Linked DNA regions of Bombyx mori. The protein of the gene in region 2 interacts with the protein of the main gene of each other region in a biochemical or structural test. Links are inferred from orthologs where the notes say so. Each region holds a gene or a part of one and is shown on either strand. Other genes may lie near its edges.

Region 1 (4,347 bases), on a different chromosome or scaffold from region 2:
GAGCCTATTCGAAACAAACAAACAAACAAATCTTTCCTCTTTATAATATTAGTATAGATTTTCAGTACATGGTCGCACAACAGTTTTGGACTGTAAGGTGTGAAAGAGTTTTAATGTTTTGTAAAACTGTTTTCAACACAAAATCAAAGTTAATGAATTTATTTAATTTATTGTATTGTATATTGATCTGCCATTATCCTGGTCATTAAAAATCAAATCACCAACATCATCATTAATCAATTATCAAAAAAAAATATTCTACTCTTAAGCTTGTTTGCTTTTAGTACTTTGCATTGTGTAAAATATTAACTTTATATGATATTTTCTGAAATGAAAATAATTTCATTAAAAAACTAACTATTGTCATGGCAGTTTTGACACAATTAATGATTTTCTGTCTAATACTTTATGAAACTGAATGTTCATTAACACATATTATCTTTCCATAAGACTAATTTAGATTCAACTGAAACTTTGAGTATTATTTTTCCAACAGATAAGTAAATGTTCCATGATGCTATTAATGTTTGAAATATTGTTTATATAGATTGACTGACATACTCACAGAAAACTTTTTATGAGGTAGATAGGGCATTACAAATACAATAGTGTCGAGATTACGAAGACAGAGCTCCACTCCAATCACATGATGTTTGCCTCTGTAATATAACACACGTAAAATGTTCAATTAAATTAATGGATAAATACCTCTACACAAGCTAGACATTCAAACACACATTAACTCATGTGCCAATGTGGTACTATTCAGTTAATGATGGTCTTGTTACTCATAGCATATAGATATAAATTCAACAAGATTTAGGATTACGACTTAATAACCTCATCTGTAACAACAAATGATGATGTTCACACATAATGACGTGCCCTTGTGTAGATTTGACCTTGATCCATGAATGGCAGATTCCTGTGTCATTTTTAGATGAGCAGATGGCAACAACATCCCATGGGGTGATAAGTAATTACGTAGATTGTACTTTAAAATAAATTCTAGTCAAATAAATATATGGGACATAATGCCTGTGTATATTAGTAATGATGCAGATTCATTTTTAAAACATACCCTATGTCCTGTAGACACCTTAACTCGTGTTCAATCCGAGCTGGATGTGCAGTAGGTACCAAGTGTTTTATGGCAAACCAACGCTTGTCTTTGTCTAGCAAAGATGAATGCTGTCTCAGTGAGCCTAAATACACTGAACTAAATGTTCCTTCTCCTATCTTTCGGTGCACTTCAAAAATCTTGTCCAGTTTTGGTAGCTTATATAAAAGTTCACATATTTGTTCACCTAGAGATAAATACAATAATTATTTTAAATTATTAATGTACTTATTTATTGGATGTCTATGTGTTTAATGACACAGTTTTGTCTTCACTGTGTAATCGGGTGAACAATCTCATGTAGTATCTGATGTTAGGTGGTTACCAGAGCATATAAAAATCACAATGTGAATGCTGCCAATCACCATAAGACTTGAAAACAACTGTCTCAGTTGTACTAACTATTGTATAAGTTACATTTTTGTGTGTTTGATTCTTATTCACTAAGTTATGGCGGAAGTCATTCAGGAACATGTATTAAGTTGTGTGTATTTTATAAGAAAAAATTATACCTGTCTACTTCATTTCACCACAGGTATTATGGTGGTTATATAACAGATATAATAAAATAATTAGGTTCAATCTATTGAGAGATGGTTCTTCTCATAATAAGTGTAATATTAAGGCTAATACATAAGGTAATACTTTGATTGACATTCACGATGCTTATGAAAGTAATATGATCTATCTTCTATTTACAAATCGTTATATTTCTGTCTTTTTAAAAACGACTTCAAAAGGGGAGGAGATATACATTTTTTTTACTTTTCTTAGAACTTTTTTTAGGATATTTTAATGATTCTTTTTTATTTGAAGAGCGATGGTTCTCATGTGCTCCTATTTAAAGTTTATTGAGATCTGACCAGTAGTTTTTGAACTATGTATCCATAAGTGATGCAAATTTAATTGACTTCAACTAATTGAATTGTTTTGTACATATGTAATTAATAATAAATAACAGTAAACAAGTCATGCACGATCATCCGGCCCCAAATCAGGATTCCGTGATATGGGTACACGTTTGCCCGGGAGTCAAACCCACGAGCCCTGGTACAATAGTCTAGGGCGCTAACTACTGCACCACCAGGTCAGTCAAAGTACGTTAATACGATTTTTAATTTACTTTTTTTAAAATAATTATTCTTATTATTTTTTATCTAAACTTACGTTCAGAAGAATCAGAAGTCTCATTTTCATTTTTATTTTCTTTGAGCTTTTTATGAGAACGTAACCCTTCTCTTATTTCAAATCCCCTAGATCTGGACATATTGGTTTAATTTATGAGTAGTTATATTTCCTCATATGGGTTGTTTTGCTGAATATTGTAAATTATAAAATAAATAACACGGGAACGGAGAAACAAGAAACACAAAACAATTGAAATTTCTTAGTTTTCGAATACAAGAAAGCGAAGAAATCACATTGTACAGCCGTGACTCTTAATTTTATTTTCATGACATAAATTATCGAATATAAAAAAAGGCCTTATCTGTTACACGAATATTAAAACACAAGTGAATGAAGAGAACGAATATCCTAAAATGGATTATGGAATATCATGATGACGGAGTGGTTGTGGCCTATTTTTTTTTTTTTTTCTCCTACCTAAGCTGAGAGCCTTGAGAGGCTATGTCAGCGTAACCCTAACTTTAGTAGGTGAGCTCACGGGGCTCAAACCTGACGATGTTGCTAACACGAACCCTAGCAAGAGTCGTGCTTCGCAGAATCTACCACCGGATCGGAAACGCGACCCACTGAGAAGATCCGGCGAGAAACTCAGTGGGCTGTGTCTGAGAGTTAATTTGCTCGTCGAGCCCTTCGACGCAAGCGTCGGGTTCGACGAGAACGGTGACCGGTGCTTGAAGTACCTAAAAGCACCGTTAGTGGATCGGGAGGATCCGAGATGACGTGTTTTGGGCGACGTCGACTGCTTTCCATTCTGTCCGCAGGATCGGGAATGGGTTGTGGCCTAAATGATGCCCGATGCATTTATGTCGAACGATACGATAATACCAATATTCGAGTCCAGCAGACAGCAATTATTTTTTCTAGTGAAATACGTATCTACTTAAAACATATTCATGAATAACTTTCACGATGTTGCGAATAAACCAGATTCGGATGCGTCGTCTACGCCGCTACACCTAGATGAAACCCGAAATACAAAGTGGGAAAGTTATTTAGAAGGACTCGCACCTTTTCATCAAGCATATTGGCGACTAGCTAGGCGACCCTCCAATTGGAAACTATCGCCACTACGCATCTTTTCGTATGGGCCTCAGGCCAACTAGCAGATATACTGCAAGAGCAATGCTCCACCAGTGCTCAAACTGCTAATCCCGAACAGACGGAGTTGGTCGACAGGAAGCGACAAACGTCAGCCGGAGTCCTACAAGGCTCCGTTCTCTCACTACTACTTTTTAGCTTACAGTTGACTCTTTTCGCTAATGATACGCCTATCAAGTACTTGAAGTGTTGTAAAATTAAACCACCCGCACAGTTTAAAACACTATCAGTTTATTGTCAAAGAACAGTGTGCTTAGTGAGAGTTTTTTAACGTTTTCGATAGCGTAAAAGTTAACCCAATTTTGTCTACTTGGAACAGTGCCCCTAGCGGCAAACGTACTCAAACGATCCTATTCCATACAAATATAAGCTAACTTTTACACCATCCAGAACGTTAAAAAACTCTCACTAAGCACACAGAAAGAACACACACAAAGAAGGAGAAGAGAGTGAAGTTATGAGAAACATTTGTCCATTCAACACACAATTAATTATTAAAATTTAAATCTAGTTTTACATCTTACAATGTATGTAATAATTACAATATAATGTTACAAGTAATTTTTAACATGCTACATACTCGAGCAGGAAAATGTCGTTCATGCATTATAAACTAAAGATCGCGGCCACCACTTTAGGACAGTGGTTCCGGAAGTGGCATGCGCGTCGACATTAACCCCACGAAAATCACAGCCGTACTGTTACGGTGTGGATCCTTTAAAAAAAAGGAAGCTGTGGCTGGCACTGAGTTTATTTTCTAAAAAAAATAGTAAATAGTACAAACGATGTGTGTTTCCGCTACTCATGCCAAATCTGTTCTGCCGCGCTTTAGCCACAAATCGTCTTTATATGAAACGATGCACCTTAGTCTGCATTATTATTTATATTGCGTTATTATTGAGGAACATATGTAACAGTACTCTTCAAAAGAGTTCGCCCTC
Region 2 (3,603 bases):
TAATATGTGCCCGAAATTTATGAAAAAAATTCCTCTCTGAAAAAAATTGACTAACATTTAAGTCATAACTATTATATTATTGTATCTTGGTGAGATGTTCTAGAGATTGTTATTCTCTTTCTACTCAGCATCTATCAACAGCTGGGTTTTAATCACCTTACTTACACACCGAGCACACTGACAGTACTGTTTGTTCACCCACTTTGTCGTATTTAAATAATAACTTGGATAGTTTTATAGAATTTATTAAACGTAACTTTTTAGAGACAAACAATCTGTTTAAATTTTGCAGCAGTAATGGAGGGAAAAATGCAATGACACAGATTATACCTATAAAATAGATTAACCAACTCAACAGTACTCTCTCTAACAATGTTTAATATACCTTGAGCTATTATAGTAGTTACACACATCTAACCCAATAGGAATAGACCATCAGCATCAAGCTCATTCTTACTATAACTCTAACGGTGAAGTATACTGCGGCAATACAGTGTGCTTAGTGCGAGTTTTTGGAACGAAGTTCCTTATCGCGCGTTGTGAAAGGGGGCTAGACGGAAAAAATTCTTACGAAAAGTTGTCACGACACTTTTTAGATCCGTCATTCTGACCAATCAACGTGTAGGCGCTTATCGCATGACATTGCTCGTATCCGATTGGTCCGCGTAATGAGTACAGTTTCTCGAGATAGCGTTTCAACAATAGTAATTTAGTTCATAGTATTGTTTTTTTCTTCTTCATAATGCCGTAATTTATTATTATAACTTAAAAAAAAATTACAATTCCTTCACTAATTAATCGAAAGGAACTTCGTTCCATCCGGGTGTCCCTTGACACCTCTGAAGTTTTTTTTTAACATTATTGATAGCGTAAAAGTTAACCTAAATATTGCATGGAATGGGATCGTTTGCCTACGTTTGCCGCTAGGGGCGCTGTTCCAACTACATACAAAAATGGCTTAACTTTTACGCTATCGAGAACGTTAAGAAACTCGCACTAAGCACACTGGTTTCATGTATAATTTCAGGTTCGACTTAATATTCCTCGTGCTGGATCCACAAGACGAAGTGTTCGACAGACGTCTGGCCTCGCACCTGGTGTCCCTGTACTACAAAGACCCGAACGATCCTCAAGATGACGAGGATGCTATTGTTAGTAAATCATGAAACTAAACTACTAAGCATATAAATTTGATTTATCTTTGTCTGCAATTTGTAACACATACAAAATGGACAATATTTTTTTTTATATTTTTTTTAAACCGCACTACTGTATAATTTGTTACAAGTTTTTTTTTAAGTTCTTTAGGCGCGTTATGAAAAATTGATGAGAGTGAAATTTTACGATGCTCACGCACCGTGACACAAAATTAACAAAATGAAGTTGCCCACTAAATCGTCATTACAATACGGCCGACGTAACTTGGCGAGTCTGAATATAGCCGCAGGTGAACTTTCCGAACCGTACCGAGAATTACCGAATTTATACGATGCCAAGAAAAGGGATGTCCAATATGCGTGTTTGAGGATGTTGTTTAATCGATTTTTTTTTCAAATTGATTAAAATTGAAATAAAAAAAAAAAATAGAAATAAAATATAACTTCTTACGCGCGTACATAAGTACACACACCCTTTTTTATGTTTATATAAGATTACTCACCTAGTGAATATGCCACTCCATTGTGCAACAAAAGAGAGAAACAAAATAATTATATAACAAAAAATAAAGGAAACTGTTATCGTCTCTGAAGGCCCACCAAAACTATTTTGTAAAGTGACTTAGCCATTTCTGATTCCGGAAAAGGTTTTTACGTAATTTATACCTCCAACTTGTCGACAATTTGTATATTTTGCAAATAATTGTTGTCTCAAATCATCATTCTGCACACACTCCATCATAATGTGAAAAGCATCTTCCACTACATCGCAAACTGAACACTCGGGATCAGGAGTCTTCCCCATTAAATGAGCAAATTTATTGAGTGGGATGTGCCCGGGACGAAGTCTGAAAACAGTCATTAGTTCTATTAAGGTTACAAGAATCAAACTACGGAGTTTTCCACGGTAGACTTTGAATTGTTTAGTACCACACACCTTTTTCCAAAGACCTTTCATCGAAATATACCTTCCATAGACGATAACATTCCTCACTTACTAAGTTTCATAATTTTTTGATGTCCAAGGACTTCATAAACAAGTCCAATACTAAAAAAGCATAAGATCTTGGAGTTTCCAGGTGTAAGTGTGTGTTATTGAACAGGATATAAGTCTGATGCGGGACTACATAGCCTTCGCGAAGGAGCACGTGCAGCCCACGCTCAGCGAGACGGCGCAGCAGCGGCTCATAGACGCCTACGTCGACATGAGGTTCGCTCTTCTATTATACTTAGATCAACTGTAATCATCAATAAAAGAGACTCGATATTATTCTATATATTACAACACGTGAATCAAAAACGGTATCCCTTTTTACGAATATTGCGCGGACAGAGAGGACTATGTAATTTTCCATACTTATAGAGAATATAGAGGAGCGCAGAATGCAGTTTTTTTTAAATTATACATAAAATCATTAACAAAAACATTACACATTTACCATGTATTTGACACACACACCCACCCATATATACTCTTTTGTTTATTGTTAAAGTCTGTGATCAAATTAACAATAGATTAATATTGTTTATCTTTAATATTATTTGTCTATAGTGTAGCCTTGGCAAAAATTATGATTACAGAAGTAAAGTCTTGAACAATAGAAGCTTAATAATGTTCAAACTTATAATTTCAATTAATTATGGTCGAATTTCGAACGCTAACCGTCCACTAGTACATCTTAAATTGCCTTTGTAAAAGAACTATATACAATAAAAGATCACTATTTGCGGAGCACAAACACGGAGTATGCCGTGAATACAGAAACCGTGAATATAGAATGGTGCTCTATGGTAATCTACATAATATGAAAAGGATTATAGGGGATACGTTCTTAGGTGACAAAATAAAACATACTTTAGCCGTAGTTGTAATAAGGTATATTTTAATTTTATTATTAGTCCACTTAAAGGCACATTTATAGAGGATATTCGGTTGGATACTTACCTTTTGTCAATTAAAGAAAACGCGAATAAGGAGTTTTTATTGTACTTCTTTCTCGTTTCCATAATTAAACTGTTTTTATATATGTAACAGGCGTGTGGGCAGCGGCCGAGGTCAGATATCGGCGTATCCGAGGCAGCTCGAATCTCTCATCAGGTTGGCGGAAGCGCACGCCAGGGTTCGACTTTCTTCCGTTGTTGAACTGATAGACGTAGACGAAGCGGCGAGGTAATTTAGCATAATATATATTAAACGTCGGTTTAGTAGACAAATCTAATGTAATCCAGGATTATAAAACTTTTTACTGGTGGTGGGACGTCTTGTGAGTTCACACGGGTAGTTACCAACACCCTGCCTGCGTCTGCCGTGAAGCAATAATGCGTTTCGGTTTGAATGGCGGGGTAGCCATTGTAATCTAAAAACGAAGACCTTAGAACTCATGTCTGAAGGGGGACATTTACATTGTGGGCCGTGAGCTCCTCGACCCATCCAAGCAATAAAACG
Region 3 (4,195 bases), on a different chromosome or scaffold from region 2:
ATTTGTCCAGGTTGATTGTTAAACTTGAAGAAGCACTAACTAAACTACGCTACTATAGAAAATGCCCCATCTGGTGTGCACTTTTTCTTCTTTTCCTAGCGTTTTCCCGGTCTAGTGTCAGGGTTCGCTTTCCTACTTAAACTTCTCCACTTTGGTCGGCCTTGGACATCCTTCTGGGCGAGGTTATTCTCCTCCAATCTGCTTTTGCCACATCCAACCAGCATTTCTTGGGCCTACCGCGGGATCTTGAACCTGGTACATAGAAGTTGAGGTATCTATTTCCGACGTAGTCTGGGGTCCTATGGTTTATATGGCCGTACTATCGTAGATGAATTTCGTGCAGCTCATCTGCTACGTTATGAACTCCAACGCTGCCGTTGATGTAGTCGTTAGGAATGTGATCTAGTCGTGTAACGCCACACATCAACCGCAGCAGCTTCATTACAGTAACGTGCAGTTTCGAAACATGTCTTACGAAGGCCGGCCATGATTCGCTGCCATAGAATAGGACTGGTCGAATGATGTACTTGTACACGAAGCCTTTTAGCTTTACCGGAACCCTGCGGTTGCACAGGACGCTCGTTACTCGAACTCGTGAAACACAAACTCTAAGTACTTGAATTTACTTGTCTTTACGACAAGTTCGTCATCTATCTTTATCGTTCCGTCGGTTCCGTCGTCTAGTTAGTCTAGTAGTACACTGAACAAAAAAGTACTCAGAGCCGAGCCTTGGTGTATACCCACAGAGATTGGGAATGGGCTAGTATTTTAGCATTGAGAGCTAGAGTTTGTGAGAACGTTAAAGTATTGTAGCACTGTTTTTAATTAAATTAAAATAATCAAAGATCTACATTTACTGTCTACCTGTACCGAGAGTCTTCCAATACTTATCAAGTATCTATGGTATATAGGCTGTATGGGCTTAGATCCCCTTGCCTTTCCAAATAAGGAAAATTTGTACAAAAAAAAATATCTAAGGTATTATCTATGGAGAGTAGGTATTATTTATGGAGTTTTATGACCTGGTAACTAAGATCTTTAAGTCAAGTAAATGAAAATGATTAATTTGGGAGATTAATCAACTGGAATGAAATTAAATGAAACGAGATGATATGGGATGAAATATAATCTCAGTAAAATAGTGGTCATTTACTGAGATTTTTTCAGCGGACTTTTTGGAGGATCCCGAGAAGTTACGTCCAGCGGCTTTATTTCATTTTCCCACCCTTGTGCACTTTTGCAGATATTAAACAGTTAATAAACCACCGTTATTCCACATTTAAACCTGAAGAAACACTAAATATACAAAATAAAACAAATCACACAACTTCACTCCTAGCGTTCCCGCCAAAACGTCGAGTAGGTATTTTACCAAGTCATAGATAATAAATAAACCAAGTGATTCTCTGTAAAAAATTTGCATAATTTCAAAATTTTCACTTTCATTATCGTACCGTACCGTACATTAAATAACAAAGTTATTACAATATCTAAGTAATACATACATGTTCAATATCGTACAACTCAAAACCCTTAACATAGATTTTTCACTAATTAATAAAATTCAGTATGTTTCAAAGAGTAAAGTAAAGTTAACAAAAACCACAAAAAAAGAAGTGCAATACGGTGCGGTATCATTGATGAGACTGAACTTTAATAAATTCTGATTCAGTTTATTGTATAACAACCAAAACATAACACACGATAATAGTATTAATGAATAAATTTTCTAATCATGCATGAAAATATCATGAGCGATATCGAAACAACGACGCCGGATCGATGGATTGAGAATGAAAAAATAATGAAGAGCAAGTTGATGAAATTACCAAATTGGTACCAGGTACGGAATTTATCATAAAACAGAAATCATTTTTGTAAAATTTATTAACTTGTCCTTTATTTGACCTTACAGATCCCACTAATTAATTCAAATGCTTCACATAATTTAACAGACGGAAACTTAGTGCGGTTCAGAGGCATGATCCAAGACATGCACAACCCTGAATTTTACTTTGAGAAATTTGAAGTATTTAACACAACAACAAATGAAGTAAAGGTTAAAAGTGGAAAATACAGAGATACTGCACATGTTTTGGTAAGGACCGAACATTAAGAAGTCTGCAAAAAAATATACACCGCGAATATTCCCTGTCATTGTTTCCGAAAATCCGAATACTTGGATACAGGAAGAAAGAGAATGAAACCACAAAAATTGTTAATTATAATGATTTTTTTAAATTTACTACTGAAATGCTGCCCATTCAAATTAACTTTTTCACTTGTTGAATATGTACGGTCAAAGTCACAACTTTCTCCTAGAGCAAGAGCCTCTTCGCAACAGACATATGCATGATAGACTATCACCATGAATTATTGGCATCTCTAAAGCTAGTTTCAGGATCAGTTAAAATAATCAATTTAATTATTTAAATATCTACCACTAATTCCAAAATAAGCCACACTTCTCAGAGGAACTGATGAAACAAGATAGTTGCTGATTGACAATACAATGTCAGGAGCTTACACCTCATTCCCATTTAGTGCTAAAAAGTATTATTAACTTTTAACTAACTATTAACTAAGTTATTAAGTTTGTAATATTTCTAATATTAACTTCCTGGAAGAACTGAGATAGTGCTTGTAAGATCCTTTTTATGTAAAGCATTAAAAATAAAACCAAAATGGAAGAATTACTAAGATCAAAGCTGTTCATGCAACCATATGCTTAATATACCTAAATGCTTAAGATATAGCTAAGTGTGCGTATAAAAAATATTAAAAATAAACGTTGACTAAAATCACTATATAAATTGTGTGCATGTACTTTTAAACAAAAATATAACATGTTGATATTTCTGTTAATGTTTGACAAACATTATGTTATGATATGAAATGAAATCTATTAATTGGGCTTCATGTGCATTTACAAGAAAATCTTCCTTTCCCCTCTTATAAAGGGCAGAATTTATTTACAACATTCATTATTATAGTAAATTAAATCAATATAAAATGTTTCAGGAAAATGAGAAAATTAACTATTCTGAGAACCTAATCAGTGGTCAGCGACAGACTTTAGTTGTTGTGTCTATACCTGGGTTAAATGACTGGGTCCAACAACTAGAAGATAAACAAAACTATTTGAAACATTTAGAAGAACCACCAAATACTTCCAAAAGGCTTCACCCAAGTACAAAGTTAAAAAGAAGCTACGATGATACAGAAGATAATTTGGATGAAATGGAAGTTGATAATGAAGCTGTGAATAAGGAAATGAAGATTTTAGATCACAAAGATAATACACCTGATGTGGTTTCAAGAGAACATTTGTTAAATTATCCTCTACCTGATGTACCTAGCAAATCTTGCATTGTTAAGGTATAAGAAAATCCAATAATATTGTTTCCATCCACATAGCAGTAGTAGTTAATAAATGAAAAGCTTTGGTTATGAAACTAAATAATAAATTGTTTTCAGATTTACAGTGACAATGAAAATCTCAAGCTCAATGACATGATAGAAGTCATTGGATTTCTTTCTGTAGATCCATCCCTATCAGGCGAATTCAAGGAAGATAAGGATTCTATGATAGAGCTCCAGATTGAGAGTAGTGTCGAAATTATAACTCATAATCCTCCACCAAGCTTAGTACCACGATTGCATGCTGTTCATGTACAAAAATTGGAACATTGCAATCCATTACTTTCAAATAGTGTTGATCAAGGTATCTAGCTAATTGAATTGCATATTTTTTTTGCTCGTACAAAATCACTGTCTACTTTGTGTTAAGTGGTTACTGGAGCTCATGGACTACAATGTGATTGCTAACACTCAGCCTTATTTGTATTTTGTTGTAGCTGTCACACCCTTCAACCTTGATGTCATTACTACTTTTTGGTAGACAATAATCAAAATGGTTATCACCATCCATATCAATGCAGTCTTGAAAAACCTAGTAATCTACCATTAGTACTAATAAAATTTATCTAAAGTTTAGAATATGAATGGAAGTATCCGACCAGCCATAGTATCTATCACACCCAAAAAGTAAAAACTCATAGCCATAAATCGACTGCTCCTACATACAAAGGGTCATGTCAAAAATGATGGCTTACAGGAGAGCGTTTTAAAGTTTCAATCTCATGTGTAATTGACTTAACATAAAAGTGACTTCTATCTTTCAGTATTGATTTCA

Evidence for each region. The genes of interacting proteins can lie anywhere in the genome.
Region 1: of the proteins of DNA replication licensing factor MCM4 (region 2) and cell division cycle 7-related protein kinase, one has a biochemical effect on the other in vitro, tested with the Homo sapiens proteins (2 studies listed by BioGRID). The link is inferred for Bombyx mori from reciprocal best matches to the Homo sapiens genes MCM4 and CDC7.
Region 3: the proteins of DNA replication licensing factor MCM4 (region 2) and uncharacterized protein LOC100286771 form a complex in vitro, tested with the Homo sapiens proteins (2 studies listed by BioGRID). The link is inferred for Bombyx mori from reciprocal best matches to the Homo sapiens genes MCM4 and MCMBP.

Annotation. Positions count from the first base shown.
Region 1 is NC_085121.1:308,924-313,270, forward strand, and holds the start of cell division cycle 7-related protein kinase, read right to left. Parts: upstream 2,818-4,347; 5' UTR 2,388-2,817; coding exon 2,288-2,387; intron 1,308-2,287; coding exon 1,082-1,307; intron 660-1,081; coding exon 566-659; intron 1-565. UniProt on the Homo sapiens protein: Kinase involved in initiation of DNA replication. Phosphorylates critical substrates that regulate the G1/S phase transition and initiation of DNA replication, such as MCM proteins and CLASPIN.
Region 2 is NC_085125.1:2,572,676-2,576,278, forward strand, and holds part of DNA replication licensing factor MCM4, read left to right. Parts: intron 1-1,027; coding exon 1,028-1,151; intron 1,152-2,260; coding exon 2,261-2,367; intron 2,368-3,192; coding exon 3,193-3,327; intron 3,328-3,603. UniProt on the Homo sapiens protein: Acts as a component of the MCM2-7 complex (MCM complex) which is the replicative helicase essential for 'once per cell cycle' DNA replication initiation and elongation in eukaryotic cells.
Region 3 is NC_085117.1:15,219,531-15,223,725, forward strand, and holds the start of uncharacterized protein LOC100286771, read left to right. Parts: upstream 1-1,378; 5' UTR 1,379-1,735; coding exon 1,736-1,843; intron 1,844-1,915; coding exon 1,916-2,098; intron 2,099-3,021; coding exon 3,022-3,378; intron 3,379-3,477; coding exon 3,478-3,724; intron 3,725-4,195. UniProt on the Homo sapiens protein: Associated component of the MCM complex that acts as a regulator of DNA replication.